Linked DNA regions of Alligator mississippiensis. The protein of the gene in region 3 purifies or fractionates together with the protein of the main gene of each other region. This does not show direct contact. Links are inferred from orthologs where the notes say so. Each region holds a gene or a part of one and is shown on either strand. Other genes may lie near its edges. The genes, in order: CUL4A, ARID4B, RBBP7 and PHF12.

What was found.
Region 1: the proteins of RBBP7 (region 3) and CUL4A purify together in Homo sapiens (affinity purification with western blotting; 4 studies listed by BioGRID). This does not show direct contact. The link is inferred for Alligator mississippiensis from reciprocal best matches to the Homo sapiens genes RBBP7 and CUL4A.
Region 2: the proteins of RBBP7 (region 3) and ARID4B purify together in Homo sapiens (affinity purification with mass spectrometry; 3 studies listed by BioGRID and IntAct, counting the BioPlex papers as one, with this or other methods). This does not show direct contact. The link is inferred for Alligator mississippiensis from reciprocal best matches to the Homo sapiens genes RBBP7 and ARID4B.
Region 4: the proteins of RBBP7 (region 3) and PHF12 purify together in Homo sapiens (affinity purification with mass spectrometry; 5 studies listed by BioGRID and IntAct, counting the BioPlex papers as one, with this or other methods). This does not show direct contact. The link is inferred for Alligator mississippiensis from reciprocal best matches to the Homo sapiens genes RBBP7 and PHF12.

Annotation. Positions count from the first base shown.
Region 1 is NC_081824.1:351,845,689-351,852,922, forward strand, and holds the start of CUL4A (cullin-4A), read right to left. Parts: upstream 3,012-7,234; 5' UTR 2,984-3,011; coding exon 2,824-2,983; intron 1-2,823. Other genes in the region: PCID2 (PCI domain-containing protein 2), read left to right, coding at 3,629-3,664, 5,813-5,902. UniProt on the Homo sapiens protein: Core component of multiple cullin-RING-based E3 ubiquitin-protein ligase complexes which mediate the ubiquitination of target proteins. As a scaffold protein may contribute to catalysis through positioning of the substrate and the ubiquitin-conjugating enzyme.
Region 2 is NC_081824.1:153,085,648-153,092,849, forward strand, and holds the start of ARID4B (AT-rich interactive domain-containing protein 4B), read right to left. Parts: upstream 3,009-7,202; 5' UTR 2,834-3,008; intron 2,508-2,833; 5' UTR 2,460-2,507; coding exon 2,454-2,459; intron 1-2,453. Other genes in the region: GGPS1 (geranylgeranyl pyrophosphate synthase), read left to right, coding at 3,359-3,484, 5,782-5,884. UniProt on the Homo sapiens protein: Acts as a transcriptional repressor. May function in the assembly and/or enzymatic activity of the Sin3A corepressor complex or in mediating interactions between the complex and other regulatory complexes.
Region 3 is NC_081824.1:321,628,904-321,636,127, forward strand, and holds the start of RBBP7 (histone-binding protein RBBP7), read left to right. Parts: upstream 1-4,208; 5' UTR 4,209-4,308; coding exon 4,309-4,324; intron 4,325-4,426; coding exon 4,427-4,571; intron 4,572-6,345; coding exon 6,346-6,488; intron 6,489-7,127; coding exon 7,128-7,224. UniProt on the Homo sapiens protein: Core histone-binding subunit that may target chromatin remodeling factors, histone acetyltransferases and histone deacetylases to their histone substrates in a manner that is regulated by nucleosomal DNA.
Region 4 is NC_081837.1:1,260,811-1,268,296, forward strand, and holds the start of PHF12 (PHD finger protein 12), read right to left. Parts: upstream 3,010-7,486; 5' UTR 2,897-3,009; coding exon 2,831-2,896; intron 2,727-2,830; coding exon 2,545-2,726; intron 1-2,544. Other genes in the region: SEZ6 (seizure protein 6 homolog), read right to left, coding at 6,701-6,733, 6,942-7,044, 7,215-7,335.

The DNA.
Region 1 (7,234 bases), about 30 Mb from region 3:
AAGTCTGCTCCAAGGCACGCATGCACCCACTGGTACGGAGCTAATGCCAGAGCCCGGAGCAGATGTTTGCAGGCTCCCGGCTGCAGCCAGCCCAGGCTCTGGGTAGCTGCTGCCAACCACGGCAGGGCTTGCAGCCGCCCAGCTGCCTGCTGGGAGCAGCCCAGGCTTCGTGGCTAGCAGCAGCTGCCTAGAGCCCAGGCCGGTGGTGGCGTCCCCGAGCAAAATGGCCTCACATGCCGTACTCAGCACACGTGCCGAGGGTTGCTGACCCGATGTAGTTAGTTGAGCCAATAAAAGATACTGCCCACATAAACACTTTCCTCTCACATATTTCCTGGGCCATCACAGCACCTCAACGCAACTTGGACTTTTTAACACACTGTCCATGTTTGTGAGAGAATATCTCCATTTGGTTAAGCATCTCAATTTGGGCAGACCCTCCACCTTCTTCAACAGGACTCCATCCATCTGAAAGGGATGGTATGTGTGAAGTAGCTTGTGGAGTGAGAGCCTATGTCAACTTCCCGAGGGAAAAGAAGCCATCGCACTGGAGTGTTGTTTTAGCTGTGCCAGTTTGGGAAATATGCAAGAAGCGAGGGTTGTTTTTTTGTGGTATCTTTTACTGGACCAACAGTACAGCTGGGACAGATGTTACACAAGCTTCTGTGCACAAAGTGCTGTACTGCAAGACACGTGGTTTGCCTTGAAAGCAAAATTTAACACTACATCACTATTAGAATCTCCCTACCTAACCTAACAGCATCTTCCCCAAACTAAGCCATGAATATGCTCTTAACCAAAGCACCTTTTTAAGCAAGGACTGATGAAGAAGGACATGTGGGTGAACCCTCCACCTCCTTCCACAGGACTCCATCCAGTGGAAGGGGAGGGTCTGCCCAAAGTCGCTGGCAGAGTGAGAGCCTCCTCCATCCTTTGAAGTCCAGGGTGTAGGGCCAGGACACACACACAGGGCCCCATCTGCTGCCACTTTCTTTGAATGCAGCTCCACTGAGAAATACTCTGAACATAATGAGTTAGAGCAGCGCCCAACCAATGCTGCCTGCATTAGCAGCGAGCTTTGAGTTTACACCTTTCTGTAGAGCCTTGAAACAAGGGACCCCCCCAAAGCTCCACACACACACACACCACTTCTGCTGCAGAACAAGCTGCAGTGTTGTCAGGTGTACAATAATTATCATATTTGTGCTATAATTTCAATGCTTGTACAATGTACAGTCAACAATGGTAAGAGTGTTCAAAATGTATAATTTTTTGAGGCAGCTAATTGATGCAGAATATGCAAAACCCAAGTCTCTCAGGGAGTCTTAACTGGCTTTTTTTTTTAATTCTGGAAAATTTTTCATATTTCAGGACAAATCAGCCAAGTCAGTTCTGAATCCTCTCCATTGAGAGAAACTCAACTGTTCAAACACCATCTGTGGGGCTACAACGGGCTTCAGATACTCCCAAATCCACTGGCAGGCATCCTAGATGCAGGTCCAAACCCAGAGGGCTTGGAGTTCAGATGCCCCCAAGTCTCACCTGCCTTTAGCCAACAGCCACAGGAGCAAGGTAGGGAGGAATCCCCCATTTCCATAAAGTCAGCATGTAGGCAAGATCCTCCCACTGGAAGCTGGGCCCTGGGAAGCTAATTAAAACTTGTAGGACATTCTGCCTGCAGTGCATTGGACAGGGGTGCATCCTCCACTACACAATGCCATTTAAATCCATCTTGGTCTGGGTAACAGACCAGTGCAGTGACTACGCTTGATCTTAGCCCACAAAACGCAGCGTCTTAACTGACTTTTGGGTTGGTTGTCAGCACCTTCTTATGACCGGGGATCCTGGTTTTCTTGGATAAAATCCCTAATTTTCAGTTTAATAAAAGGAACCCCAAATACACACTTTTCCATGATTAAAATGAACCACTACTAATATATATATATACAACATCAATAACATATCTATCTATCTATAAATATATATTTATTAGTGGTGGTTCATTTTAATCATGGAAAAATGTGAAATCATTTATCTATCTATATCTATAGATATATCTCTATCTATCTCCGTAGATGGATAGAGATATGTCTACAGATAGAGATATATCTATAGATCAGGGGTGGGCCAAATGCGGCCTCCGGGCCAAATGCGACCCTCCAGGTCATTTTATTTAGCCCGTGGGGCCCCTAAACATTTAGAAAACCAATAGTTATCTGCCCCTGGCTGCCTGCCATGCAGCCCTCGATGGCTTGCCAGAACTCAGTAAGCGGCCCTCTGTCCGATATAATTGCCCACCCCTGCTATAGATAGATAGAGAGAGAGACAGATGGATAGATATAGTGGTGTTTCATTTGAATCATAGAAAATGTGGATTCTGGGTTCCTTTTCTTAAACCTAAATTGGGGATATATATTTTTTTCAATCAGAGAAAACCAGGATCCCTGCTTATGTCCACTTGCCTTGAAATACAGAAATGCTTCAGCTTGGATGCCCTGCCTCGCTCCCCCACAAGAGAGCTACAGCCCGCACTATAAAGTCTGGAAAAAAATAACTTATTTGCACGCTGATTTTTCCAGCAAGCACCACAGTGTTTTGCTCCCGATGCGATGGTCGCACACTGAAGCTTGGCAGCGCGCTGACAAACAGTGCAGAGGGCAGGGGCCTCCTCGGCGGGGCCCCGGGAAGGCGGCAGCCCCGAGGCGCGGGGGGAAGGGGAGAGGGGGGGAGACCCCTATCAGAGGGGAGACCCCGGCCGGGGCTGGGCTCACGGCTCCCCGGGGTCCCCGCGGGGGCGAGGGCAGGGGGCCGCCCCGCACCCACCTCGGAAGTTCTTGATCACCAGCTTCTTGGAGGCGGCGGCGGCGACAGCGCCCCCCCCCGGGCCGACGCGACCCCCTGCCAGCGCCACAGCCTTAGTGAGGCCATTGGTGTGGCCCACCAGCGCCGTCAAGTGCGGCTTCTTGCGCGGCTCGTCGGCCATCTCCGCCGGCCCCGGCCCGCCCCCCGCTACCGCCCCGCCCGCAAGATGGCGGCCGAGCCCTGCCTCCCACAACGGCTAGCTCGCGCTGGGGGGCAACGGACGTGTCCCCAGATGTGGTGCAGATGTTTGTGAGCGTTGTACTTCTACGGGCGGGGGGCTGGGCTCGGGGACCTGTAGCACAGCTGGAGACCCCCGTGTTCCCGGGCCCCGCCCCCATGGCCCTAAGGAAGCCCCGCCCCCGGCCCCAGCGCGTGGAGCAACAAGCCCCGCCTCCCGCGGATGTAAAGGAAGGGGGGGGGCGGGGAGCCAGCGCTGCCCTTTCAACGAAAGAGAAGCAGGGGCGGGGGGCGGAGCTAACTCCTGTAGCCAGGTGGGCCTGGCGTAGATCACGTGGCTCCCGCGACTGGCCTGTCAGCGCGGGGAGGTGGGCCGCTCGGCTGGAGTAAGCGCCAGCATTGTTTGGCCCCGCCCCCTCCTTGCCCCACCCACACGTGACGGAGTACGGGGCGCACCAGGGGAAGGAAGAGGGATGAGGGTGGAAGTCACGTGAAGGGGGTGGGCTTTCGTTGTGTCCTGGGAGCTGGGGGTGCGCGGCGGAGCTGGGAGGAGCCGGCGTCTCACGGGGCGGCCTCTCCAGCCCGGCGCATGGCGCACATCACCATCAACCAGTACCTGCAGCAGGTAGGTGGGCGGCCGGCGGGCATTCGTCCTCCCTGTCCCGCATGTCTGCTCGGGCACCCCGTATACACCCACCCAACACACACGTATGCACATACCCAGTGTACACGCATGTGCACATGCATACACCCACTACACACACATCTGCACACCCAATACATACATGCACACACGCATCCCCAGTATGCACATGCATATACCCACTACACACACACATACATGCACACCATACCCAGTATATATGCACGCATATGCCCACTACATTCCTTAGAGTCTTAGACCAGCAGAGGCTCCCTATGTCCGACTAAGACTGACTGTGCCTGAAAGCTTGCAAAGAACTTTTTTCCAGCTACTCAGTTGGTCTAATAAAAGATATCACATCTACTCGAAGAACCTTGCTCGTCTATGTCCTTAGATCAACGTGGCTACAACCAGCAACTCAGATACCCACTATACACGCATGCATGCGCACATACACATGCAGTATACACACCTGCACATACATGCACCCACACACACCCAATATGTGCACACGTGCATGCAAACACATGCACATGCATACACCCAGTACACACATGTACATATGGAGCCCCTTTGAAGTCTTCCTGAGGGGTGGTGGATGTATTAATGCAGGGGTGTCAAATTTGCCTGGTCTCATGGGCCACAGATGTACACAGGAGTAGTCCGTGGGCCACATGAACAGCACAGGGCTGGATCAGACCCCCCCCCCCCAACATGCTTTTGTATTCTGAAGCTTCTATATTTAATTTGTATTGTTAAACATTAATAACATTCAGATACATTTAAGAGACATGATTCCCTGCACTTAAAATATCCTCCATTTCAGGAAAATAAATAATATAATGAAAATTAATAGTGTATCTTTATTCTTGGAAGTGTAAGTGAAATTGTTAAAGACATTTTAGAAACTTTGTACACCTATCATCCAAAGACAATGATGATATAACATTGTTTTGTAAGATCTCTGGTTTACTTTGATCTTTGTAAGCAAGGAGAAAAAAGGTGGTGACAGTGTTGGTCATCCACATCATTCACAGAATTTCAATATGTATTTTCTGGACTTAAGTTATTTGGAAGTAATGCATGAAAAACTAATTTTTGAAAAGTCATTGACAAGAATGTATATGCATCTGCAGGAAAGTGGCTTTATTTGATATGTGGGAAAAGGTGGCTAAGTCTAGAACTTATTCATAGTTGTTAGGGTTAGTAGGGACTTCAATAGATCATAGAGTCCGACCCCCTGCCCTGGGCAGGAAAGAGTGCTGGGGTCATATGACTCTAGCCAGGTGCTTGTCCAGTCTCCTCTTAAAGACCCTCAAGGTAGAGGAGAGCACCACCTCCCTTGGAAGCCCATTCCAGATTCTGGCAACACTTACTGTGAAGAAATTCTTCCTAATGTCCAACCTAATTCTGCTTTCTGTCAGTTTGTGGCCGTTGTTCCGAGTTATTCCAGGGGGTGGGTGCCCTGGTAAACAGAGCATCTCCTGTTTCTTGCTGCCCCCCGCCCAGCTGGTGAATTTGTAAACGGCCACATGATCACCTCTCAGCCTTCTCTTGCAGCGGCTGAAGAGATTCAGGTCCCTCAGTCTCCTCATCGGGCCTTACCTACAGGCCCCTAACCATAAGAGTGGCCCTCCTCTGGACCCTCTCAGGGTTATCCACATCCCTCTTGAAGTGCGGTGCCCAAAACTGGACACAGTACTCCAGCTGTGGTCTGACCAGTGTCGTGTAGAGGGGAAATATCACCTCCCTGGACATGTTCATGATGCACCTGCTAATGCATGATAAGAGCGTGGTTAGCTTTACTGTTTACTTCGTCACACCGAAGGCTCATGTTCATCTTGGAGTCAACAATGACTCCGAGATCCCTTTCTGCTGCTGTGCTGCTGCGAATGTCCTCCCCTACCCTATAGGTGTGTTGATGATTCCTTCTCCCTAGATGCAGCACTTTGCACTTGTCTTTGTTGAACTGCATCCTATTCTTTTCTGCCCAATTTTCCAACCTGTTCAGGTCCGTCTGGATTTGATCCCTTCCCACCAGTGTGTTTACCGTAGCCCATAATTTTGTGTCATTCCTTGCAGTTGTTTTCTTTTTTTTCTATTTTTTTTACTTTTACCTGTCTTATTTAGGTACAAGAGGCCATTGATACCAGAGATGGACTTTTTTGTGCAGAACTAGTATCATTTAAGCATCCTCATGTTGCAAACCCTAGACTTCAGGTAAGGAAATTCGTTACCTTGCCAAATCGCAGTCCCAAATCCTGCAATATTCTTTGTGTGGGGGAGTACATTTTCATCGACTTTGGAGAGGCTCTTAATGGATATGAGATTTTTCTCATTTGGATATGATTTCTTGATGCAAATAGGAAATCCATGTTAGATGAAGTAATGTCCACAGAGAGGAACGGCAAGGATAATAAATAAGCACAAAAAATTAAAAAGGCACAAACCTACAAAAAAAACCTCTCATACCTGAGAAAGGAGAATGTAGCTAGGATGTAATCTGGGGGGAAAAAGTTGTCTACTGTTATGTAAAGCCCTACAGAATTTAAAAGTGAGAAACCAAGACTGTTCAGAAGAAAAGTACAACAATTTCATTTATAAAACATTTAACTATCAGATAGACTTCATTTGTGTGAGCTCCTCACTACAGTTCCTTAGGAATATTTAAAGTATCTTTATTAATAGTCTGTAAAACCTTTCCTTTTGTGGGTCACTGTGTAAATTTTAAAACTGCAGTTAGCCAGATATGTGGCCAGAAGAACATTGCCCTGTATCCCATTAGCAATAAGATGCATTCATCATTCTTTTCCTCGCTACATAATAACCTAAAAAATATACAATGGTTTCTAGAAGAATACAGTGAAATGTAGATTGTAAGATACATGTCCCCAGCCTATGTTTTTCTCTCTTCCTTTTTTTCCCACCTGCCTTGTCTCATTTTACCTTGCCTTCTTCCCTGAAAAATATCTTTTTAATGATCCAAAGCAGTGGCTCTTTCTGGTTTTGTGTTTTTCTGTCCCTTCTCACATTTTCAACTCTTCAGCTTTCTCCGTGACATGCTTCTTCCCCTTCTTCCCCAATACTTTACCATAGGGGTGGGTAGTTATTTGGGCCAGAGCCACTGAGAGAGTATTGGTGATCTGTTGAGGACTGGTTTAACGTCCCCTCATACCCCAGCTCACCAGAACTCCCTCAGTGGCTCTGCCCTGGAGCTGGCCCCACACAGTTGCTGCCCAGTGAGAGTAGTCTGGGATCCATGGGTGCAGGGCAGGGTGTGCTTGGCCAGGCAGGTGGGATGGTGCCGTGGGTGGGTGGGGGGCAGGATCTGGGAGCGGGATGGGCAGCTGGAGCTGGGATTGGAAGGTGGTAACACTGCAGGGCTGGAGCTGTGCTCCACGCCCTACATGCCTCTGCATGTCGTGAGGATGGACCATGACTCTGCCCCAAGCCCTGGCCCCATACTACCACTGCGCTGTGATCCTAATCCAAGCCCTGGCCTTGGCGTCAGCTGCATGTTCTGCTCCTGGATGCCACTCCCCACCTGCCTGT
Region 2 (7,202 bases), about 170 Mb from region 3:
TCAGAGTCCTTTACACAGAAGTGTAAAAATCCAACCTTCTTCTTTTCACAGATGAGAAAAACGAGGTACAGCAAATGTAATGGACATGTTCAAAAGAGTCACATAAATAATCAATGGCACAGCTCAGAACAAAACCTGGAACACCTCACATCCTCCCTCTAATCCACCAATCGGTACAACACACTATCCCTGCACCCAAAGGAAGAACTACTAAGGTATAAAATGACAACTTAAGCCCCCAGCCCTGCAATAGGTACCACATTATAGGACTCATTATAAGCTCTTGGTGCTTGATACTTTAAATAATAAGGTGCCCAGAATCACACACTTCTGGTTGTTTACAAACAAAAAAAAGTCATGTAAAAGTCATATCTTCTCTTTTATCAGCCATCCAGTTACAGTGAAATGGGCAGACAGACAAAATTGTTTACCTGAAAATTCTCTTCTTTTACTTCCCTCCCACTGCAATCTTACAAACTTAAAAGCTGTGTCTTGTATGGCTGTTTATAATTTTGCATCATTCAGTGGATGATGTAAAATCTTAAATCCTTTTTAAGATTTAAGCTTTTAACATTTTCATGCTGGAAATGTAAAAAATTTCAGTGCAACTAGCAGCTCCCAGATTAAATCACAAATTTAAGTCTGAATTTAAATTTTCCAGAGAAACTAGGCTCCGTTTTTTTGTTCATCCCAAACATCTAGAAGTTTAGGAATCAGCAGAAACAAATCAGAGTGTATTTTCAAATGAGTCAAATTCAGTATTCAATAACATTAGCAGCATCCATCTTGATAAAAAAAAAATGAAACCTCCTTTAACAATAGTAGTATAAATCTTACTAAAGGGTAAGGAAACATGCAGGTTTTAAAAAAAAATATGGATCTATAAACAGACTTTATGGATGTATAAAACAGAGAGATATTTAAGTTGTAATAATCTGCTCTGTATTCAGCTGAGGTAGAAGAGAGGTTTCTCACTCTACTATAGAGCACACTTTACCCTCCAACTCAGAATTAGATTTCCTTAACTCCAGCAATTGCAGATCTACACATTTACATGACTCCAATAACCACTCTATCTGAGCACCAATCTCTAAGGTAACTGCAGCATTTATGTGGAAAAAGTAACATTAAAAAAGTAGGTGTGTATATATAGCTATCTTTAAAATAAATTATTTTTCTTCTGAGAAAAAGACCTCACTATATTGTCTCCTCCTGCTCTAAATTTAATTCTCCATTTGTCTCAATCCATTTCAGTAACCCAATTCGAACAAGCATTGTGTTCTGATCCAACACTCCACAGACCACAGTTTGGGAACTTGCATATCACACTGCAGAAGTCTGACTATTGCTTTTCTTACTTAAAGCAACCAATTTATCCAATAAGCATTTTGGTGCAAGACCTCAGAACTTATCAGTTCAGCTTAGTTAAAAAAAATATACACACACAAAAAAAACCCAAACAACATAGGAAAGCACAGTTCCAAGTGTACATTTGAAGGTTCTTTTTTCATTAGTCACCAGGAGAAATGTGCTGAACCTTTAACTAATCAGACAAGACTAACTGCTGTGCTTAGCATCACTAACTAAACCTAGTTATTGAAGCTGTATATGCCGTCTACCATTTCCAGCACTTCACAAACACAATGTCACCGCACTCATTTTGCTTCTGCACAGACAAGAGCTGTCCAGAACCCAGAAAGGACATGACTCTTTAGAAGCAGGCGACTGCGCTCAGGGCTGAATAACAAAGCTGATATGTTGCGCGTGAATGCCAAGCGGTCTGCCACGGCTCTTTTTCCTGCAGTTATGCAGCAAGTGCGTTCGACAGCTTTTTAGAAAGCTGGGAAGCCAGATCCATTGCAGCACAATAGGGGCATGATCCTGATTGCATGTTCTAAGCCACACAGCAAGGCCAATAACAGCCTTTCAAAGGAGGCCCTGCCATCACCGAGGCTCAGGGGAGGAAGAAGGGGAAACCCTGCTAAATCGCACTTGTTAAACTAGGACTCAGAAGCCAGATTCATTACCAAAAACCAGATCCGGACAGAGGTTAAGCAGCCCTTGAAGCCTGGCCAGCCTGAGGACCGAGGGTCTAACAAATGCCAGGAGAAGGAGAAAAAGTGCCTGGCAAATGGTCTGAAAAGGAAACTAAAAAAGCTGCCTGAAAAATGATCCGGCTGCTGCGCCTCCCAGCCCGGCCCCACTGCGGAGTATCCCGCGCCCCCCGCCCCCAATCGGGGCGGCTCATACAGCGGGACGCGGGGCATTCATCCACCGCCCCCCCCCACAGCGGGGCCTGCGATGCTGCGGCCGCCACCGCCTCCCTCCGCAGCGCAACCCAGGCCGCCATGTCCTCGCTCCCCTCCCGCCAGGACCCGCATTGTCCCCGGCCCGGGCGGACACCAGGGGACGCGGATGCCGCCTCCCCCACCTCCCCCCGGCCCCCGCGTTACCTTCATGATGAGCTCAGGCTGCGGTAAAACCCCCGAGCGCGGCCCAGGTCGGACCTGCAACGCAAAACAAAAGCGCTCAAGCCGCCGCCACACCGCACCGGGCAGCTGCTGCGCGGGGAGGGGGCCCACCCGCGCGCCCGGCGCCCCCCTTGCCCGCTGACGCCATTTCTGTCAGAGGAGAAACTTGCCACAACAACAACCCGCCGCCGCCGAGCCGAGCCCCGCTCCCCCGCCGGGCACGGGGGGCGGCCCCAGCATTGCTCCCCGCAAGGGGCAGCGGGAAAGGGGAGGGGGGACAACTCCCGCCGCAGTCCGGTGATGAGAAGAAAAACAACCCCCGCCCCTCCCCCACCCCCGGCCGCTCCCGGCCCCCCGGTTACCTTTGTTCGGCGCCGGCCGCCCGCAGCTCCCCTGGCCCGGGCGGAAGCACAGGGAGCGCAGCCGCCCCTAGGCTCCGGCCCCGCTGGCTCTCTGCGACACACGGGCCGATGCTCCCGGCCGGACGCAACGACGCTGCCTACTCCGCGACGCTCCGCTGCAAGCCTCGAGCGCCCCTCCCCCCTCTCCCCAACTGCCTGCCTGACGGGCGGAGCGGGCCCCGCCCTCTCGCCCCGCCAATTGGCCCGCGCTCCGCCAGGGCCCGCCTCCCCTCCGCCGCCATTGGTCGCCGCTTCGGAAAGGTTGACGTCAGTTTTCCCCCAGTTCTATGGAAACACCGACTCGGTGCCGCGGAGGCTCGCGGGAGCTGCGGTTCTTCCCCCGCCGCTCCGAGCGCCGGGGCCGGGGCGGACGGACTACACCGCCCAGGGTGCACCGCGCGAGGCCCCGCCGCTCGGAGTGGGGGCGGGCCCCGCGCCTGCGCCTGCGCGCTGCGGCTCTGGTGGCGCATTTTCCCCCAACGGGCGATGGTGGCGGCAGCTGCTGCGGTGAAGGCGGAAGGGGGTGGAGCCTGGTTTCCCTTCCCTACTCCTCCGCCCCCCGCGGAGCCGGGGTTCGGCACCTCTCCTCGCGTTGAAGTCCGGCGGCGCCGGGTGCGGGGCGGTACTTGGGGGCTAGTCTCGTTCTGCACGGAGTGGCCGGGCGCGCGGTAGGTGTTGGTTGGTGCCTGGTGGCCGGCTGGGACATAGATGGCGGCTCTCCCGCCCCTGCTATCTCACTCGTCAGGCCCGCGTCGCCGTCAAGCAGCAGTTCCCAAACTGGGTCGTGACCCCCAGTGGAGTTCCAGCATCAGCGGATCCCCATCGTGGGGGTGGCGGGTTGGGAGTGAGGGGCCAGGCTGGGGAAAGGGGGGTGGCAATGGGGCCAGGCTGGGGAAATGTTTATGGAGCTCTGGCCGGAGCTCTGGCCAGACCTCTTTGCCAAATGCTAGCAAGCTGGAGCGCCCTTCAACCCACCCCCCCATCCCCCCTCCTTGAGTAAGGACTGGCAGCCTTGTGGTGTCGCTTGCTGTGGGGAGCGCTTGCCAACTTGGCCCCGAGAAGGAAGAGGCACCTACTTCTAGAGGGGGATGTTGTCAGGGGGCTTCTCGGGCTCTGAACCACCAGGTGAAACCTCCCGGTTTCACTTGCGTTAGCTTGCCCTCTTTGTGGGGTTCAGGTGGCCTAACGGCTGCGAAAGGGTGTCCCAGCACGGTGGTCCCTTTTCCAATGTTATCTTTGTTCTGACTTTATTTTTTTTAAATCTATTTGTATCCTTATTTTGGGGGGAGATTGCGGTAGCCTTCCTTGTCTTTGATCGGTACCTTATTTCTCAAAGTCCCACGAAATTCCATTTTGGCAGCGCAAGACCGTATGCACCCAGGTTCGGCAGTCCATGGCCTGCAAGTCGCCAACTACTGGATCCATTCTGCAGAGTGGGGGCTTTGGCACTCCTGACATTGCCTGTGTTATATGTAACTGGACAGGCAGGCACTTCTCCCGTGCTCTTCCACAGCTTAGCCTAAGCATGAGACCTCCTTTGTGCCTGGAAAACCTTGCCAAGCCCTGGTGTCACGCTCTCTCTTTCTCTCTCTCCCCCATTCCCACTTGCTGTCATATGTTTTGTGTTGTGTTTTTTGCGGGGAGGGTTTTAAGGAGTTAACACTACTTTTGATATTAACTAACTTCCAGTTGTTTAATGCTTGTTTTAATATTAACTTACAGTAGTTTAATAACAGTTGCAATAAACAGTTTTCAATTATCAAATCACTTAAAGATGAATTTAAATCTACTCTACAATGTAGACTTCTTTTAACTGGTCTCCTGGATGTGCCTGTTCTCAAAACATATATGGTACTGATGTTTCTTAATGTACTCTAGAAATAATCCTGCTTTACTGGTAAGGTAGCAACTAGACAGCATTTACTAGGGCAGAGGAAATGGCTTCTTGCAAGGTGCTTGCCAGCAGGTAAGAACTGCTGTTGGAGTGGCACGGAACTTCGTGCCACCACTGCAGGTCCAGTCTTGCCATGACAGAAGCAAGTGGTGAGTTTTGACCTGCTCTATCTGCAGTGCAGCAACAAAGGTTAGAGGTAAGAAGAGGGAAAATGAATTCTAGAAAGGAGTCTGAAAATCACAGAAATGCTTACAGCCTGGAAATGGAGAGGAGGGCATGAACTGAGGGAAACAAGTCCTAGAATGAACTATCCAGGGAAGCTGAGTCTGAAATGACAGCAAGAGAACCTGACACACGCATCCAAGAGTATGATATAGAAGAGAAAGGGGGGAAAAAAGCAAAATTGCTAAACCTAAAAGGACAGGACATGGCACAAAGAGAGAAATGGAAAAGAATAAAAACTGAAGCAAAAAGCTCAAGAAGCCCCTATAATTTCCCTTTTTATTTAAAAAATGTCTCTTAAAAAGGAGGGGGTGGGAAGGGACACTGATCTTTTGTCCAGTAGAAAAACTTCAGGAAAAAATTCCCAGATGAAAAATAGGTGCTTGACACACATGTTGCTGTCTTTTAATGTTATCTGAGATATTTATAATGTTGGTACTTCAAAGTCACAGAAGCTAAAGTAGACTCAAAAAATAAGCCTTAATTTAAAATAACTTTGACTTTTCAAAAGTAGGTTTCAGTTTTTAAAAGTTTGAGACTTCCTTATGTCTTTATTAATAATGCCAAAGCCATTAGTCTTTTGTATTGCAAAGCTGGTGATAATTGAAAATGCTGCCTTTAAAGGAACATTTACATGTGGTCTGAGTATCTGAAGCCTGCTTATTTTTTCTCCTTCTTTCTAAACAGGTGCTAATGATTTGACTCTCACTTTGATTTTTTTTTTTTTTTTTTTGTCTCTCTCTTTAATTTCTCTAATCTGAATTTGTAACAATAACTCTTAACCTTTTAACAGGGTGAAGCACTGTTTTTCTTTTTTAACACCGAAATGGAGCAGGCGGAACAAACATCTAAAAGACTTCTTTTAGAGCCTTACAAGTACTTACTTCAACTACCAGGCAAGTCTTTTTTGTTGCTGTTCTGTTCTATTTAACAAATTTGTTATCATAGACTTAAATGCATATCAATTCACATAATTTTACATGTCTATCCAGTCTCGAGTTGCATTGAGTTCTGAGTAGATTTTCTTTAATTGAAAGCCACGGCATTTTCTGTGTCATAACCTTACTGTGCATAGCATTTCTTGGGCTGGTACCTTGTTTTTCTGATCTGTCCACTTAATGCAAATGTTCTTCCTCTCCCTCAATACTGCATTCAAAAGAGACTATTGCTATCTACTACATCTCTGGTGAAAGGAAGTGCAAGCACTGAAGACCTGGTCTAGCTCTTGAACAGAAATAGTCTGTTCAGAGCTTGACCTGTATCTTCTGCTGGAACTTTTGATCTCTCTATTGCTCTCTTCAACTAGAGTTGCTTAGTCATGCACAAGAATATTTTTTGTGGTCAAATTCAACTGTACCTAGCTCACCGAATATTTCCAGAGGGTCAGCCAAGGCTTGTGTGTCGGCTTCAGGCCAGGTGATAGCATATTCATAGGAAGTATTCCTCTGAAATATGGTAATAGTTCATGTAGAATAAAGCCAATCTCTGGGGGGAAAACAGCACAAATAAATACCATTGTACATAGCTTTGTTTATACAGGTAAGGAGTTCTGGTGGGTTTGGCACTGTGCAGAACAGTATAAAACAAGAAAATGCGGACAAACACAATGGTGACTAATCACTAGGGATTGGGTTTTCCATCTGCCATGTAAAAATGGAAAAAAATGCAGATTTTCCACTTTTTTTGAAAAGTGCTTGCTGCAGGCTAGCAAAGTTGTGGCCTGTAAGGGGCTGGAAGGAACAGGAGTAGGGCAGGCACGGGGCGCCATGTGCACACTCACACACGCGCATGGTCACCAGGCAGCCTGGAAAGCAGCTCAGGAAGGTAAAGTCTGTGGAGGTGGGGCAGGAATTGAGGCCCCCATAGGGAGGGAGTTGGGCAGGACCGGGGCTGGAGCTACTGCCCAGCTGGGCAGTGTGTGGGGCTTGAGGCCTGGGGCCCGAATGCACAGCTACAGGGCCCGGGCAGGGAGCAGGACAGAACCCTGGGTGGCTCGTCTGACTGTAGGGCTGACTGACTCCCCACCACTACATGCACACCCGGGAAGGACATGCGGGACACAGGCCCCCAGATCTGTGTATGTGAAGGAGTGGGTGCGAGCTGCCCATCCTGCTGCCCTGTGCCTGGGGGCCTCCAGCCCAGCAGGTGGGACGCAGTGCAGCAGGGTAGAGCAGGGCTGGGTGGGGAAGCTCCTTACTGCTGAAGGCCCCACAC
Region 3 (7,224 bases):
CTTCACTCCCTCGTCCAAGTCACTGATGAAGACATTGAAGAGTATCGGTCCAAGGACCGAACCCTGCGGGACCCCACTGCCCACACCCTTCCAGGTTGAGACCGACCCATCCACTACAACTCTCTGGGTACGACCCTCTAGCCAATTCACCACCCACCGGACTGTGCAGTCATCCAAGTCACAGCCTCTTAACTTTTTCACCAGTATGGGGTGGGATACCGTATCGAAGGCCTTCCTGAAGTCTAAGTAAACGACGTCTACCCCTACTCCTGCGCCCAGGTGTTTTGTAACCTGGTCATAAAAAGAGACTAGATTAGTCAGGCATGATCTACCTGCTATGAACCCATGCTGGTTTCCCCTCAGCATAATTTGTCCTGCCGGGCTCTCACAAATGTGAGCCTTGATCATTTTTTCAAAGACTTTGCCAAGGATGGAGGTGAGACTGACTGGCCTATAGTTGCCTGGGTCCTCCTTCTTCCCCTTCTTGAAAATGGGGACATTATTGGCCCTTTTCCAGTCCTCCAGGACCTGGCCCGTGCACCATGAGTGTTCAAATATTTCCGTCAGTGGCTGTGCAATGACGTCAGCCAGTGCCTTCAGTACCCTCGGATGGAGCTCATCTGGGCCTGCAGACTTAAACTCATCCAGTTCCTCCAAGCGCCTCTGCACCATCTCAGGGTCTACGCTTGGTAGTCTGGCACCCTGCTGCTGCCTCTCTACAATCCCAGTGAGAGACTTGTCTTGCCCCTCACTTAGGAACACTGAGGCAAAGAACTCATTGAGTAGTTCAGCCTTGTCCCCCCTGTCCGTCACCAATTGCTTCTGCCCATCTAGTAGGGGTCCTATTCCACCCTCTTGTGGAGGCTGAATAGATTCAGACCCTTTAGCCTCTCTTCGTAGGGCCTGACCTGCTACCCCTTGACCATGTGAGTGGTCCTCCTCTAGACCCTCACAATGCTAGCCATATCCCTCTTGAAGTGTGGCGCCCAGAACTGGATGCAGTACTCCAACTGTGGCCTGGCTAACGCTGCACAGAGGGGAAGGATCACCTTCCTGGACCTGCTTGTGATGCATCTGTAGATGCACAACAAGGTGCAGTTAGCCTTACTGACTGCTTCCTTGCATTGGCAGCTGATGTCCATCCTGGAGTCAACAATGACTCCAAGATCCCTTTCTGCCTCTGTGTTGACAAGAAGGGTGTTCCCCAGCCTATAGGTGTGTTGCTGGTTCCTTCTCCCTAGATGTAGTACCCTGCGTTTATTTCTATCCTGTTCTGATCCACCCACCTCTGTAAACTGTCTAGATCTAGCTGGATTCTGTCCCTCCCATCCAGTGTGAAAACTCTACCACCCCAGGGGAAGGGGAGGCTATCCCCAGTCTTGGGCTCACAACCTTCTGGCTTATGCTTCAGCACACAAGCCCCTAAGCCAAAGAGCCAGGTTGGAAAGCAAGCCTTTCATATTATGGGCTCTGACAATAATATAGTCAAGAAAGTGCCAGTGATTGGAGCATGGGTGTTTCCAAGTAATCTTATATTTGTCACTCTGTCTGAAGATAGTATTTTTCATGAGCAAGTCATGCTCTGCACATTCACTGAGGAGGAGGATACCATTGGAATTGACTTTCTTCCCTCTTTCCCAATGGTACCATTCTAAAATTCAGTGTCACCCAACTCTTGTGTGAAGTTACCCATGAGGATGAACTTGTCTTCCTTGGCAGTGGCAGTCAGGACTGTGTCAAGAGTGCAGTAGAACTGTTCTTTGTTGACGTCTTCATCGTCAGTTGTGGGGGTGTATGCACTGATGCACCAAGTTCACCCAGGGCACCATTTTCCCTAAGGCTGGCTCTGCTGAGATGTAAAAATGAAAAGTGAAATGTAGGTATTGGATAAACTGATGTTTGTTGTTATCACCTTTGTGATTTTTTGGTTTCATATTTGATAAATCTGCCTTAGATTTTCACATTTGCACTAATGTCATAATTCTATGCAGGCATCAGGAGCAGTTTAGCTCTTTTTTTTCATCTATTCATCGCTCTAAATGACTTGAATACTGATGTTGTAGGATCTTTACTTAGTGTACTATTCCATTGGAATGCAGGTTAGTGTCATTGATAACTGGGAATAAGTTTATATATGAAAGGATAATGTGGGCTGATCCTTTACTGTTCTGTGGTGAAGGGAAAGTTTGCTTTAACAGTGGAAGTGGCATCAGAAGGTATTTGCTTTCTTTTTACTTTTTAAAAAGGGAAATCTGTGCTCTACAGTGACTAGAATATGTGGGCTTTGTAGTGATTCTAAAACTGTAGACATGGGGTATGAAATTTACCTTGTGCCCTAGGTCAGATCTGGATTGGAGGGCTTCTGTACAGGCTAGCTCCAGCTTGAGGTACAGGGCAGTGGCAGTGGGACCAGTGCAGACAGTAGCAGGGATGGCAGTGGCTGTGGTAGGACAGGCAAGTGGTAGTGGGACCAGCACCTTCAGAGTAAGCAATCAAGAACTGTGCCAACAGAGCCTTGCTGACCTCCTATCCCTGATGACCACGTCTACTAGGGTGCACAGGGACTCTGGATTCTGCAGCAGGCCATGCCCCTCCACTTCTGGTAGCCCAATGGGCCAGATGAAGTTGCTCCGTAGCCCAGATGCAGCCTGAGAGCTATGTGCTCATCACGTCTTTTGTAGACCAGTCATTTTCTGTTAGTGTTTCCTCCATCCAGTGACTAAAACTGGGGCCTATGCTTTGCTCCTATTGTAGAAGAGCTGGCTATGCAATCAGAAACAGTTAGCAGTAGTTTTGTCTGTGGACTACATCTAATCTATATTGATATCTATAGCTATGGCTATATAACCAGTAGTGGCTCCTTTGTGCCAGAGAACTTGATTTTTTTTCCTTGTCACAAACCAATGATGAATCCCAGATCCAGACACACTGGAACAGGACTGGCCAATTGGCAGCCTGGAGAGGTCAAATTGTGGCCGGCAGGGCTTGTTGGCGTAACTCCACAACCCGGGCAGGGTCACCACAGCTCCTGCCCCCCGGCCTGCTGTCAGATTGAGGTTGTTGGCCACTAAAAACTGGCAAAAGAGGAAAGGCAGCAGGGTTGGTGTGACCCCTGAGTGGCCAAGGTGGGTCATCTGGGCCCAGGGAAGCTCTGCTGCCTGCCTCTGGCCTGCAGGGCCAGAGGAGTTGGGGCACACTCTACTTCTGCGCCGCTGGGGTGTGAGCTGAGCTTGTTCTGGGGGTGGCAAGGCACAGTCTGGCCAACCAGGGGGCTGGGGCAGGTATCCCGGCACTGGGAAGGACTGGGGAGGACGGGCAAGTCCCAGCCCTCTTTTGGTGAGGAGCAAAGTGCCAAGCGTCTGCTGGGCCTGGCAGCAAAGGGGGAAAGCTTGGCAGGAAGGTTTCAAACACCAGAGGGACAAAAAGAGCATCCTGAAGCGCCCCCTCAGAGACAGGCAGCAGCCCCCAGCAATGCTGCCCTGTGGGGGCAGGAGTCCAGGTGACTTAGGGACAAGTAGGCGGGAGCCACGGTGTGATGTGCATTGTCAGGTCTTAAATATTAAATTATCATATTTGCTCAAAAACTATCATACACTGAAAATTATGCAGACACATGCAAACAAGTATGCAGATAAGCCTTTTTTATTTATTTTTTATTGCTCACTGCAACTGGCCAGGGAGTGAGTGAGGTGTGGGTCATGCAAGTTGAAACATGCTTTTATTTCAAGGCAAGTAGTCATGGGGGAGTACCAGCAACACGCCCAGAGGGTTCCCGGTGAGTCGTGACTCGGGTTTTGCATGTTAGTTGCCTCCATTATTGCCTCAAAAAGTACTGTACATTTTGAACACTTTTCCTATTATTGATTGTACATCGTAGAAGGGTTGAAATGACGGTGTAAATTCTCAGACACCCAGCAACAATGGCTGTGCCCAGCACCCCCCGCTAACGGGCGCTGATCTGCCACGTTCACCGTTTACGGCTCCCCCCGCCCTCCACGACAGTGCACTCTACTGCGCATGCGCTTAACGCCCTGTCAGGCGGGAGAAGAGTGGAAGGAGGGCGCGTGCGCAGGCGACGCTCGGTCGCCGGCGGGCAAGTGGGGGTGGGGTTCTTGTGTTCCGCGGAGGCCGGCCGCAGGAAGCGGACGCAAGCGCAGGCGGCGTCCTGGCGTCGAGGCGGGGCGGTGGGTGCTGCGCATGCGCGCGGGTGGGAAGGCGGGAGCCGAGTTTGGAGCGGGGCGTCTTGAGCGCGCCTGCGCAGCGGCTGGCGCGGGGCGCGAGATCGGCCCCGCCTCCACCCCTCGCGCGATGGCGACCCGGGAGGGTAAGTGGGGAGGTGGGGTGGGGGAAGGGGGAGGGCAGGACAGGGGGTCTCGAGCTTGAGGGAGCCATTGGCCGGGACCTGATGCGGCGGTTGGGCCGGCAGTGGCGGAGGAGCCGGCGGAGGAGCGGGTGATCGGTGAGGAGTACCGCGTGTGGAAGAAGAACACGCCCTTCCTCTACGACCTGGTCATGACCCACGCGTTGGAGTGGCCCAGCCTCACCGTGCAGTGGCTGCCTGACGTCACCAGGTGAGGCGGGGCCCCTTCCCCTGCCCCCGGGCACGCGAGGCGGGGCCTCAGTTAACGGTCCTGCCCCTGAGCGTTCTAGGGCCGTTAACGGCCCCGCCTCGGAACGTTCCAATGGGGGCCCCTCGGCCCTGCCCTGTTCCACGTGGGGCTGTTTCTACCTGTGCAGGAGGCAAGAGGCACCCCATGGCAGCTGTGCTGTGACACGGATGCTGAAGCCTGCTGGCCTCTTGTCCTGCTGAGGGGGCTTAGACCCCTTGCAGGTGTCCATCAAGAAGTTGGGGTGCTCCTGAGAGCTCCCAGGAGCCATAGCTGCCCCATGACTGCCACACATGGGCAGCCTCCCTTACTCTGAGGAGGGGAGAGGAAGGAAAGGGATGGCAGCCCAGCTGATGAGGCAGGGGTGGATCTTGGAGCAGCTGATGGGGCAAGGGAAGGGTGTGGGGCTCATGTTGCCATGCATCTGCCAAAGCAGTTGCCCTCCCCTGCTGTGATAGAGGATATTCATCTCTGTGCTGTTTTCTCTAACGGTTGTACATTTTGATGTTCCAAGTAGCATCTTGAAATAAATACCTACTGGGTGTCAGAACAAAGTCAAAGGCCGGGGGGGGGGGGGGGGGGGGTGTGTGTGTGTGTGTGTGTGTGTGTGTGTAGCTCGTGTTTTACAGTACAGCTGGGGTGCAGTCATTGGAGAATTGGCGCGGGTTTGTTTTTCCTCTAAAATCATAGTTTGTGTAAATGATGGCTTTACATCTATTGTTATTTTAGCATGTGAAAGTATTTGGGCTTGCAAGGACTTGAGAACAGGAGGCTGGGAAGGAGAGAGAAAGGTTAACTAAGACCCTTGTGTGAAGTGCTTCTGCTTACCTCGCATATTAATGGCTTGACTTTTTTAAAATAGCTAGTTTTAATTGTATAGCTAGTGTCACAATATGTAAATCACTTAAAACCAACATGGTCCCTTTTGAGTTTCATCTGCCATGATGGGAGGCTTATTCATACAGGGGTGAGGAGAGCATTGGATGCAGTATAGCAATGGGATTGTGAACTGTTAGGGTTTTTTTTCCTCCAGAAGCTTTGTTTGGTCTGTACTGGGCCTTTGCTTTCTTGAACACAGAAATTGCTTTGAGTCTTAAGGCGCTACCTTCTTTCACAGTTTATTAACTGTCATTTGCTACTGAAGAAACAATAGTCTAGAAGTCTCCTGATTCCATTTTTAAGTTACAGCATAAAATTGTGGGCATGTTTTTTTGGTTGTTGGTAGATAATGCACGTTCTGCTGTAATTTCTAACTTATTCCCCACAACAGTTTCCTAGTAATAGACCATATTTAAACATTCAATATTGTTTTCTAAGCTACTCATGTTTTTGGTTTTTGTTTGGAAAATCTTTACATGAGAACAAAAATCTCATGTCCTGCCCTTCTCAGGTACTAATGTCAAAATGCCTTTATTTAATCTTTTTGTGCAAATAAAAAGTCATAATTCTGCTGTTCACATAGTAATGAAAATCATTATAAAATTATTTTGGGATTGTCACTCCAATTTTGGCAAAGATTTATCTGTCATGTCTACAGTGCTGTGAACCTCTGCAGTTCAGCTTAAGCTCTTATACTAGTATTCCTAATATGGCAGAAAAAAAGTGCTCTTTGAATTAATCTCTGGTCTCCTAGACCAATTGGGTGTCACGGGCAAACTTTGTAGCAAAAAAAATAAGTTAAAAAAAAACAAACCTGAACTCTTTGACTATTTTGTATGACTATTGTTTTATCGAGCAGGCCAGAAGGAAAAGACCATGCCCTTCACTGGTTAGTGTTGGGAACACACACCTCTGATGAACAGAACCATTTGGTGGTTGCAAGAGTCCAGATTCCTAATGATGATCAGTTTGATGTCTCTCAATATGATAGTGAGAAGGGAGGTAGGTTTTGCAGGCATTTTCAGTGTGTATTCTTCTAGCCACAGTGGTAAATAATGCATATCTTATTGAATTACATTCTTACTTGAAATATTTTTTTTTAATTAAATGTCTGGTTTTAACATACGTGTATACTGCAACTTGTTTACTAGCATACACTATACAGAGTAGTTGAGTGCTGAAAAATCTTACTGTAAATGGCTTTCGTGTCTAGTATTAAGTTAAACAATTCATGTCTAGCATGAATCTAAACAAAGGGTACGTTTTGCAGAAATGTCTTGCAAGACCTAAGTATAAATTATATTGATAACAAGGTGTAGTAGCTTGAGAATTATTTAAATAAGGTTTTTTCACTGGGTCTATCATCTGGTAGGCTTACCTGGTACACAGCTAGCTTGGGCAAGAGATTTCCCCTTTTTCAGGGGAAAATTACTGCCTTTAATATTCCTTTCTCTTATTACATTCAGCTGAAAAGTTTCATTACTTTCAAGAGGTAGATGTTTTAAAGAGTCTGTTGTGCTTGGTGTGCTAATATGAGCCTCATGCAAGATTAAACATCATGAAAACCTAGAGAACATGGGTTTAGTATATCAAAATAATTTATGATGTGATTAATGAACTTTTGTTATGAAAAACATCTAGAATTTGGCGGCTTTGGATCAGTAACAGGCAAAATTGAAACTGAAATAAAGATTAACCATGAAGGTGAAGTAAATCGTGCTCGCTACATGCCCCAGAA
Region 4 (7,486 bases), on a different chromosome or scaffold from region 3:
AACGGAACCGAGCAGAGACTGACCGCATTGTTTCTAGAGCTGGTCAATAATTTGCACTCATATGATCCCATTAGCAGGCAAAACCCTATCAATATGCAAACTTTGTAACCAAAACTAGACTTTTAAAAGCTGAAGCAATACAGTCTCTTTGAATAAAAATAAACAAGCCAGCAAAAGTTGAAAAGAGTTTGCAACGGGAAATTTCATCTTGAGGAACAGTGGACATAGACATCAGAAGTGGTATCATAGCTAGACTACTGAAAATGCAACATGACTTCTCTAAAGAACATTACACCATATCCCAGTTCATCGCAGAATCAATACATCAACGAATACATCAACGAATTCTAAGGGTGTGCTTAAAAAGAAGAATACATGTTTTGTTTGTTTGTCACAGGCTAATCGTTGTGGAATAGCATTTTAAGATTGGCCAAATTTATAATAAATTAATCAAATTCTGTTCCTGCCACACAGAGCCACTGTGAGAGTGACAATCCTATCATAACACCATTTTTCTGAGAAGGAAATAAACTAGCTAGGCCCAGAACAATTCAACACTTAAAAAAAATATATATATATATATATAACTATGATGTGACACAGTCCATAGGTTTCAGAACAAGATAAAAGAATTTTCAGAAGCAGCCGCCTTCCCTGGAGTGACCCTGTCAACATCCAACAATCCTAACTGGAACCACAATATCTGCCTGAAGATTTGCTAACTGAAGTAGGTGAGTCTAACACATTATTGGGCAAGTATGAACAAAGGAGAGTAAGGCCTCCCTCACCAGACTGAAATGGGGTATGGAAATAAGAGTATCAATATACTGAGGTGGGGGGAATTATTGTTCATTTGTTTCCCTTTTTCAAAAAGGAAAAGACCACCGTGAATTTGAACACACATGTATTTATGTAGTCAAGGAACTCAGCTCACTAAGGACTTACACAAGCACTGCTTACTTATTCTTGGAGGCGGCGTGGGCCTAGGAAAAAGCTAGGTTTGTCTCCCAGTTCTGCTGCCAGGTCCCTGAGTGACCTTGGGCAAGTCACTTCCTTCCTCTGACTCATTTTCCTTATCCCCACCTCACAAATTATACAGACCAAAAGCTGCCAATGGCTTCAGACATCTTCTGCGCAGTAGCCATGAGCTCCAATCTCGTGTTAAATTTCTCCTCTGTAGGGATGAGAAAACAGGTTGATAATGCCAGGCTAACATCTAGAGTTCTTAGTCGATCAATTCTGAATTGCTCCACTCCATTGCAGTGGTATGTGTTTAAAGGTATGTTCATTGTTAGTTGCAGGTAATAAATAAAAACAAACAGGGAAACTGCAAGTGCTGCATCTGTGCCTGGAGTTTCTACCCAAAGAGGAAGTTTACTTTAAACAAGATGTAGGAGATGAAAACAAAAACCAAAGATGACCAAGAAAAGAATACTGTCATCCTACAAGCAACTCGTCTCATCCGAATACATCTGGGGAGGGGGGCACACAAGTCTGGGAACAACGGCAGGGCACAGCACAGCCTGGGGTTTTACTCCAGCTAAGGAAGAGGCCTGCTCAGTGGACCTGGCACCTCAGAGGATGTTCATGTTGTAGCTGTAGAAAACAGGATGCTTCTCTCTCACACCGCGATTTGCACTGCTGCTGATCTGTCCGTACACCCAACCCCAGCAATCCCCTGCACGCGCGAGCCGCTGCCTCCTCTACTATTTTAGCAAGTAGAAGTTGACAGGATCAAGCCCTGTTTTCATGACCGAACTGACTAGTCAAGACGATTCATCCAGTTGTTGGGGGAAAAAACCGCCCCCAAAAACCACTCCCCAGATGCCTCCAAGGCGCATAAAGCGAGCATCGTTTCTCACTCGCCGATTAAAACCAAGAAACCTTCACCGCGTTAAACACCACAGCTTGCGCATCTCTCCCCGACTCAAAGAGACACGTCGACTGTTACGACAAGGCAGGGCACAGTCGGTCGATTCATCCACGCTCGGTTTTCATTGAGAAGCGGAGCCGCGACGCTTCCCCCCACTCCCGCCAACAAACTCCTCGAAGAACCGGACTTCAAAAGCCCGCAAACAACCGCTGAAAAAAGGTATGCGTGAGGCTATTTTGGGAAACTGAACATAAAAGCACGCTCCCCCCCCTCCCCCGTCCCTCCTCCTCCTCCTCGCTGACGAGGCAACGGCGGTTCTACCCCCAGCGCACGCACACACGCGAGGCTAAGCCGGCACAAAAGCTTCCCAGTCCGACGTGCGACATCCTGACAGCCACAAATCGCAGAACCGGAAGGGATCGTGGAGTCCAGACGGCACCCCTGCCCCGAACATCTCCTTGCTGACGCTGCGCGCGTCGCCGAAGCCCAGCGCGCCCCGCACGGACGGGACAAAAAGGCCGGGTGCTGCCGCCGCGACGCCGGCCCCGCGAGGAACATGTCCGCGAGGGGGGGTGGGCACCCCCCTGTCCCGGGGCAGGCAAAATGGCGCTGAGCACGAAAACACGCCATGTTGGGGTGAGCGGGCAGCGGGGGCCCGGGCTGGGCCTTACCAGCACTGCAGGTGGAAGGCGGCGGGGCAGTGGTCGCAGCACAGCAGGTCGCCGCCCTCCTTGCAGCTGTCGCAGCTGTCGTGGTTGGTGGCGCGGCCGCTGCGGCGCGGCTCCCGCTCGGGCCGGCGGCTCCGCTTGTCGCCGTCCTCGCTGCGCGGCGGCGCCAGCAGGGCCTGGATTTGCTGCGCGGGGAGAGAAAGACAGGCGGCCGGGATCAGGCTCGGGATCAGGCCCGCCGCCCCCCGCCACCCGCCGCCGCCGCCATCTTGCCGCCGCGGCCCCTCACCTCCATGAGCCCGCCCGACGTGTCCAGGTCGTACACCACGGTCTTGGCCTCCATCTTCTCCCACATGGGGCCGGGCCGGCCTAGCCCACGGGCCGGGGGCGGCGGCGGGCGGCGGGGGGGGCCGGGCCGGCCATGGCGGGGGAGGGGGGGGCTGCCGCGCCTCACACGCACCGCCGCGCCTCAGGCCCCGCCGCCGCCCCCGCGCAGGCGCAGCGCCGCCGCGCCCCCCCCCCAACTCCCCCCAGCGCGCAGGCGCAGTGGCGGCGGGTCCGGGCGCAGGCGCCAGCTGGCGGCGCGGCGGCACTGCGCAGGCGCGGGGCGGGGGGGGGCGCAGGCGCGCCGAGGCTCGGCCGGCCCTGACCGGACGCGCGGGGCGGGCGGCGCAGGCGCACGGCGCGGAGGGGGAGGGAAGAAAGGGGAGGGAGGGGAAGGGTCTTGTTGCGCAGGCGCGCGGAGGGATGAGTGCTGCGCAGGCGCGGCTGGGCTGGGCTGGGCTGGGCTGGGCTGGAGGAGGGGTGGTGGTGGTGCGCGGCGCGGCCGGCAGGGGGAGACCTGCTGCTGCCACGTGGGGGTGCATGGGGGTGCACAAAGCTGGGGGGCAGGCTGGGTGCAGAGGGGGACTGTGCATGGTGAAGTGGGGGCAGGATTCGTGCCTGTAGCAGCTGGCACCCCTTCCTGCTTGCCTGGCTGGGGCTGCCCCCTCCTCAGGGGCCCCTCTCGGCTCAGCCCCTCCCCAGCCCTCTGCTGCTGGATCAGGCCCCAAATCCCCAAAGTCACGAGCACCAGTGTTTTCCCCTGAAGCTCCTGTCACCGGGCAGCCCTGCAGGGCAGGAGTCACGCCAGGCCAAGGGGGGGAGCGGTGGCGGGGGCTGGTGCCCTGGGCTTGGCCCGCGCCTGCTGCAGCCTGAAGAGGGCCCGGCTCTCCCTGTGGGTCCCCTGGGGCAGCCAGGCCTGGCCTCTCCTGGGGCAGCTTTGTGCATGGAGACTCCTGCAGGACCTGGGCTGGGACCCATCTCACCCCTCCCAGAGCAGCTGCTGGATGTGGCCCCGCTCCTCTGGATGTCTGTGCCCCCCACAAGGAGCCTCCGCACCCCAAGGAGGAGCTGCCGCGACCCCAGGGCTTGCAGGGGTCGGGACAGGACCGAGCCCTGCCTGTCCTGCCCCCAGCTGTGACGCCACGCGGCTGGTCCCGCGGCAGCCAGCTGGGCTGCGGCCTTGACGTTGGCTGCCTTCACCGTGAAGTCGGGCTGAGCTCCCCCATGAGCGTCACGGCGAGCTGGGCCTGGCGTGCGTGCGTGCATGCACGAGATCCCTCTCCGCTGGCTTTGTTCCTGCCCTCAGTCCTTGCAATGGAGCCACGCAGCGAGCGCTGTCTTCTGCAGATGGGATTTCGCTGCCGGGGGCTCTGGCTGCATCGTGCTGTCAGCTCGGGTTAGCTCAAATCAATTTTCCAGGGGCCGGCGGGAGCCCTCTAGCAGCCGCCCCGATGCCTCCATGCAGCCCTGCTCCGTGCTGCCCCGTGCAACACCCCGACAGCTCGTGCTGGGCATGAGCGATGCTGCGGCTCCACGCGGTCCCCTAAGGCAGGGGCGCATGGGCCAAAGGGAGCCTGAGTGTCGTGGCTCGTGGCCTGGGGCTGCTGGGCTGGGGTCCAGGGCCACTGGGGCAGGTGACGTGCTGCTTCAGGGTCCTGCCTTCCCACGGCCCTGCACTTGGGGCGCCCTGGCATGGAGTTTCGGGGCAGCAGACGCCTGGCTCTGATCCTGAGGGGTGCGGTACCTTCCCATCTCCCACCACGATGTGTGGGCTGCCCTCACGGCCAGTGCTGCCGGGCAGCGGAGACGCAGGTGCAAGGCTCTTGTTGTCCAGCCAGCGCAGGGCTCTGGGGCATCCCTCCTTCGTCCCAGGCTGCGGCCGGACTGACATCCGGGACACTTACCGCTGGTGCAGATCCCAAAGCCATGGTCTTGTCCGCCTGTCTCCCAGTAGCCTGCCCCTCGGCCATCTCCATCCAGCCGTGACCCGGGGCGCAGCCCCCTGAACTGTCCTGGTGGCCTGGCTGAGCCCCGGGCTTCCTCAGCACCCCTAACCCTTGTCAGGACAGTGCCCCCCCATTCCCCCGTGTGACTGCAGGCCCGGCCACCCCCCAGGACGCCTGCACCACGACTGAGCAGCTTCTTCTAAAACACCGGTTTATTAATGAACCAACTGAAAGAAACGATGGGGCTGTCTCCAAAACGGGCGGCGCGGCGGAGGGGCGTATTGTACACGTGACATGTAAAAAGCTTCCTGCCTGGACCAGGGCTTGGCAGGCCAGGGAGGCCGGGACGGGGTCAGTGGCTAGCCCTGGGGAGCCCCTTGCCCTACGGTGCTGGGGAAGGGCCCTGGAGCCTGTCTCCCTGGGGCTGAGCGGGAACAGGCGCTGGCAGTGGAAGCAGGAAGCAATGGTCCTGTAGGGATCGTCCTTGGCCTTGCCCGGCTGCCCGGTCCAGCTGGGTTTCTCACAGAGAACGGCCCGGAGCTGGTCACAGGGCAGGGGCTGGCGAGTCATCTCCAGCACCCCAACGCCCCAGGCCGGCTCCGTGTGCCACCCCTCCTGTGCCCGCAGCTGAGAGATGCAGCCGGGGCCTGCTGGACCCTGGGGTGCATGTGGTGCCAGGCTGGTCTCCGGGCAGAGGTCGCACGTGCAGAGCTGAGCTAGGGGCTGGGATGCCAGGCTGGCCGCAGGGAGCATGGCGTCCGGTGTCTGCCCCCCCCCCCTGCACCTTGTTCAGGCCCCGGGGGGACAAGCAGGGGGCAGAAAGGCCCGGGTCTACTCGCTGCTGCCTACAGGGATGGGGGTCTCTGAGGGGCCTGGAGGAGGCTGCCTGTGGGGTCAGGATGGTGCCCGGGGAGGAGGCGGCTGTGCCGGGCAAGGGACGTGTGTGGCCGGGCACCAGGTCAGCGAATGCAGCATGCTCATGGGGGGGGGGCATGGGCAGGGAGGTGGTGATGGTGGCAGGCAGGGGGCATGGGCAGCGAGGGAAACACACGGCGGGCAGGACGGGGCAGTGCCAGCACCCAGCAAGCAGTGCCCCTCCATTACAGAGCAGATGCAGGAGGCCTGGCCTGGCCCCTGGGCTCTGCCCTTCTCCCCCATCCATCCTGCCCCCTACGCAACCAGCACATTGGGAGCAGGGGATGAGAGGGGAGACCCTGCCCAGGGCGGGACTCTGCCGGCTGGAGGGAGCCTGGTTCAGAGCCGGCACAGGCCTGCAGCTGGCAGACCGCTGTGTTCAGCCTCTGCCCCTTCACCCTGCTCCCCAGGCCGGGGCTGGACATGCCACGCATGCCTGGTCCCCGTGGCTCTGACAGCCAGGACACGGGCAGCACGGCTCTGCAGAGCACCAGCCTGGCCCTGCCCAGCCCTGGGCCAGGCTATGCAAGTGCCCTCGGGCTGTGCTGCCCGTGCCCGGCAGCCAGCCAGGGCAGTGCTGTGAAGAGCCAGCTCTCAGGCAGCGCGCTCAGCTCCCCCGGGCCCGGGCACCACCTGCCCATGTGGCCAGAGGGAGCAGACTCACGCAGGCCTGGCTGGGAACGGGCAGGGCTGGTTCTGGCTGCCACGAAGCCCACGGCTCCGGCACCAGCCAGGAGCAGCTGCCCTGGGGCCAGCCCCTGCGGGGGGAGAGGCAGGACCCAAGGGGCTGGCTCGGCCGGACAATGCTGGCCTGCTCCCGGCGCACGACGGTCCCCTGGGGCAGCATGACATCCCCTCCCAGGGCAGCGCGCGGGCCACAGCTGCTCCAGTGTTGCGGCAGGTGCCTCCTCCTCCTGCTGCTGCTGCTCCAGCTCCAGCTCCGGCTCAGCGCGGCCTCGGCCTAGATGGAGACCTCATATTCCCTCATCTCCTGGGAAAAAGACAGACTGCAGGGGGTTGGACACGTGCCGCGGCTGTGGGGCGCCGCGGGTACGGGGTCCTCCCCAGCCCCTGCAGCTGCAGCGAGACTGCTGCTGCCTCTGCCCACCTCCCCAGGCATCGGCGTGCCCCCCGCTGCCCCCTGGCCCCCACCGCCCCCCAGCCCAGGGCTCCCTGCCCCCATGGCCCCAGCCCCGGGCGGGACTCAGCACTTACTCCGGTCTCGTAGGTGGGGTTGTCAAAGGCCGACTCCACGGTGATGTGGTCGTAGGGGTGTGACCCCGAGAGCGGCAGCTGCAGAGACGGCTTCCCCTGGAGCCTGCGGAGAGGCATGGCCCCGGGGGGGGGGGGGGCAGCGTGGGACTGATGGGCCCGGGGCAGGCTGGGGCTGGGTTGTGCCCATGGGGCAGGACCAAGCCCTGGCAGATCCAGGTGCAGGGCGCAGTGGGCCCAGACAGTGCTCGGCTGAGCTGGCAGCCGGATGCTCACCTGGAGAAGTAGAGGCAAATGCCACCCAGGAGCAATGCCACTGCGACCACGGGCAGGAGAACAGCGACAGCGACGTTGGTGCTCTCCAGCGCAGCCCCCGCAGGCATGGCCTTGGCGACTGCTGGGGAGAGACACGGGCACGGAGGCCCAGCGTGACCAGTGAGGGCAGTGGTTGGCTGAAGCTCAGCAGGGCCCGGGGGACCCTGCCTGGGGGGCCTTCCCCCAGCTCCCGGGACAGCCGTCGGCTCAGCCCCCCCGAAACCCCATCACCT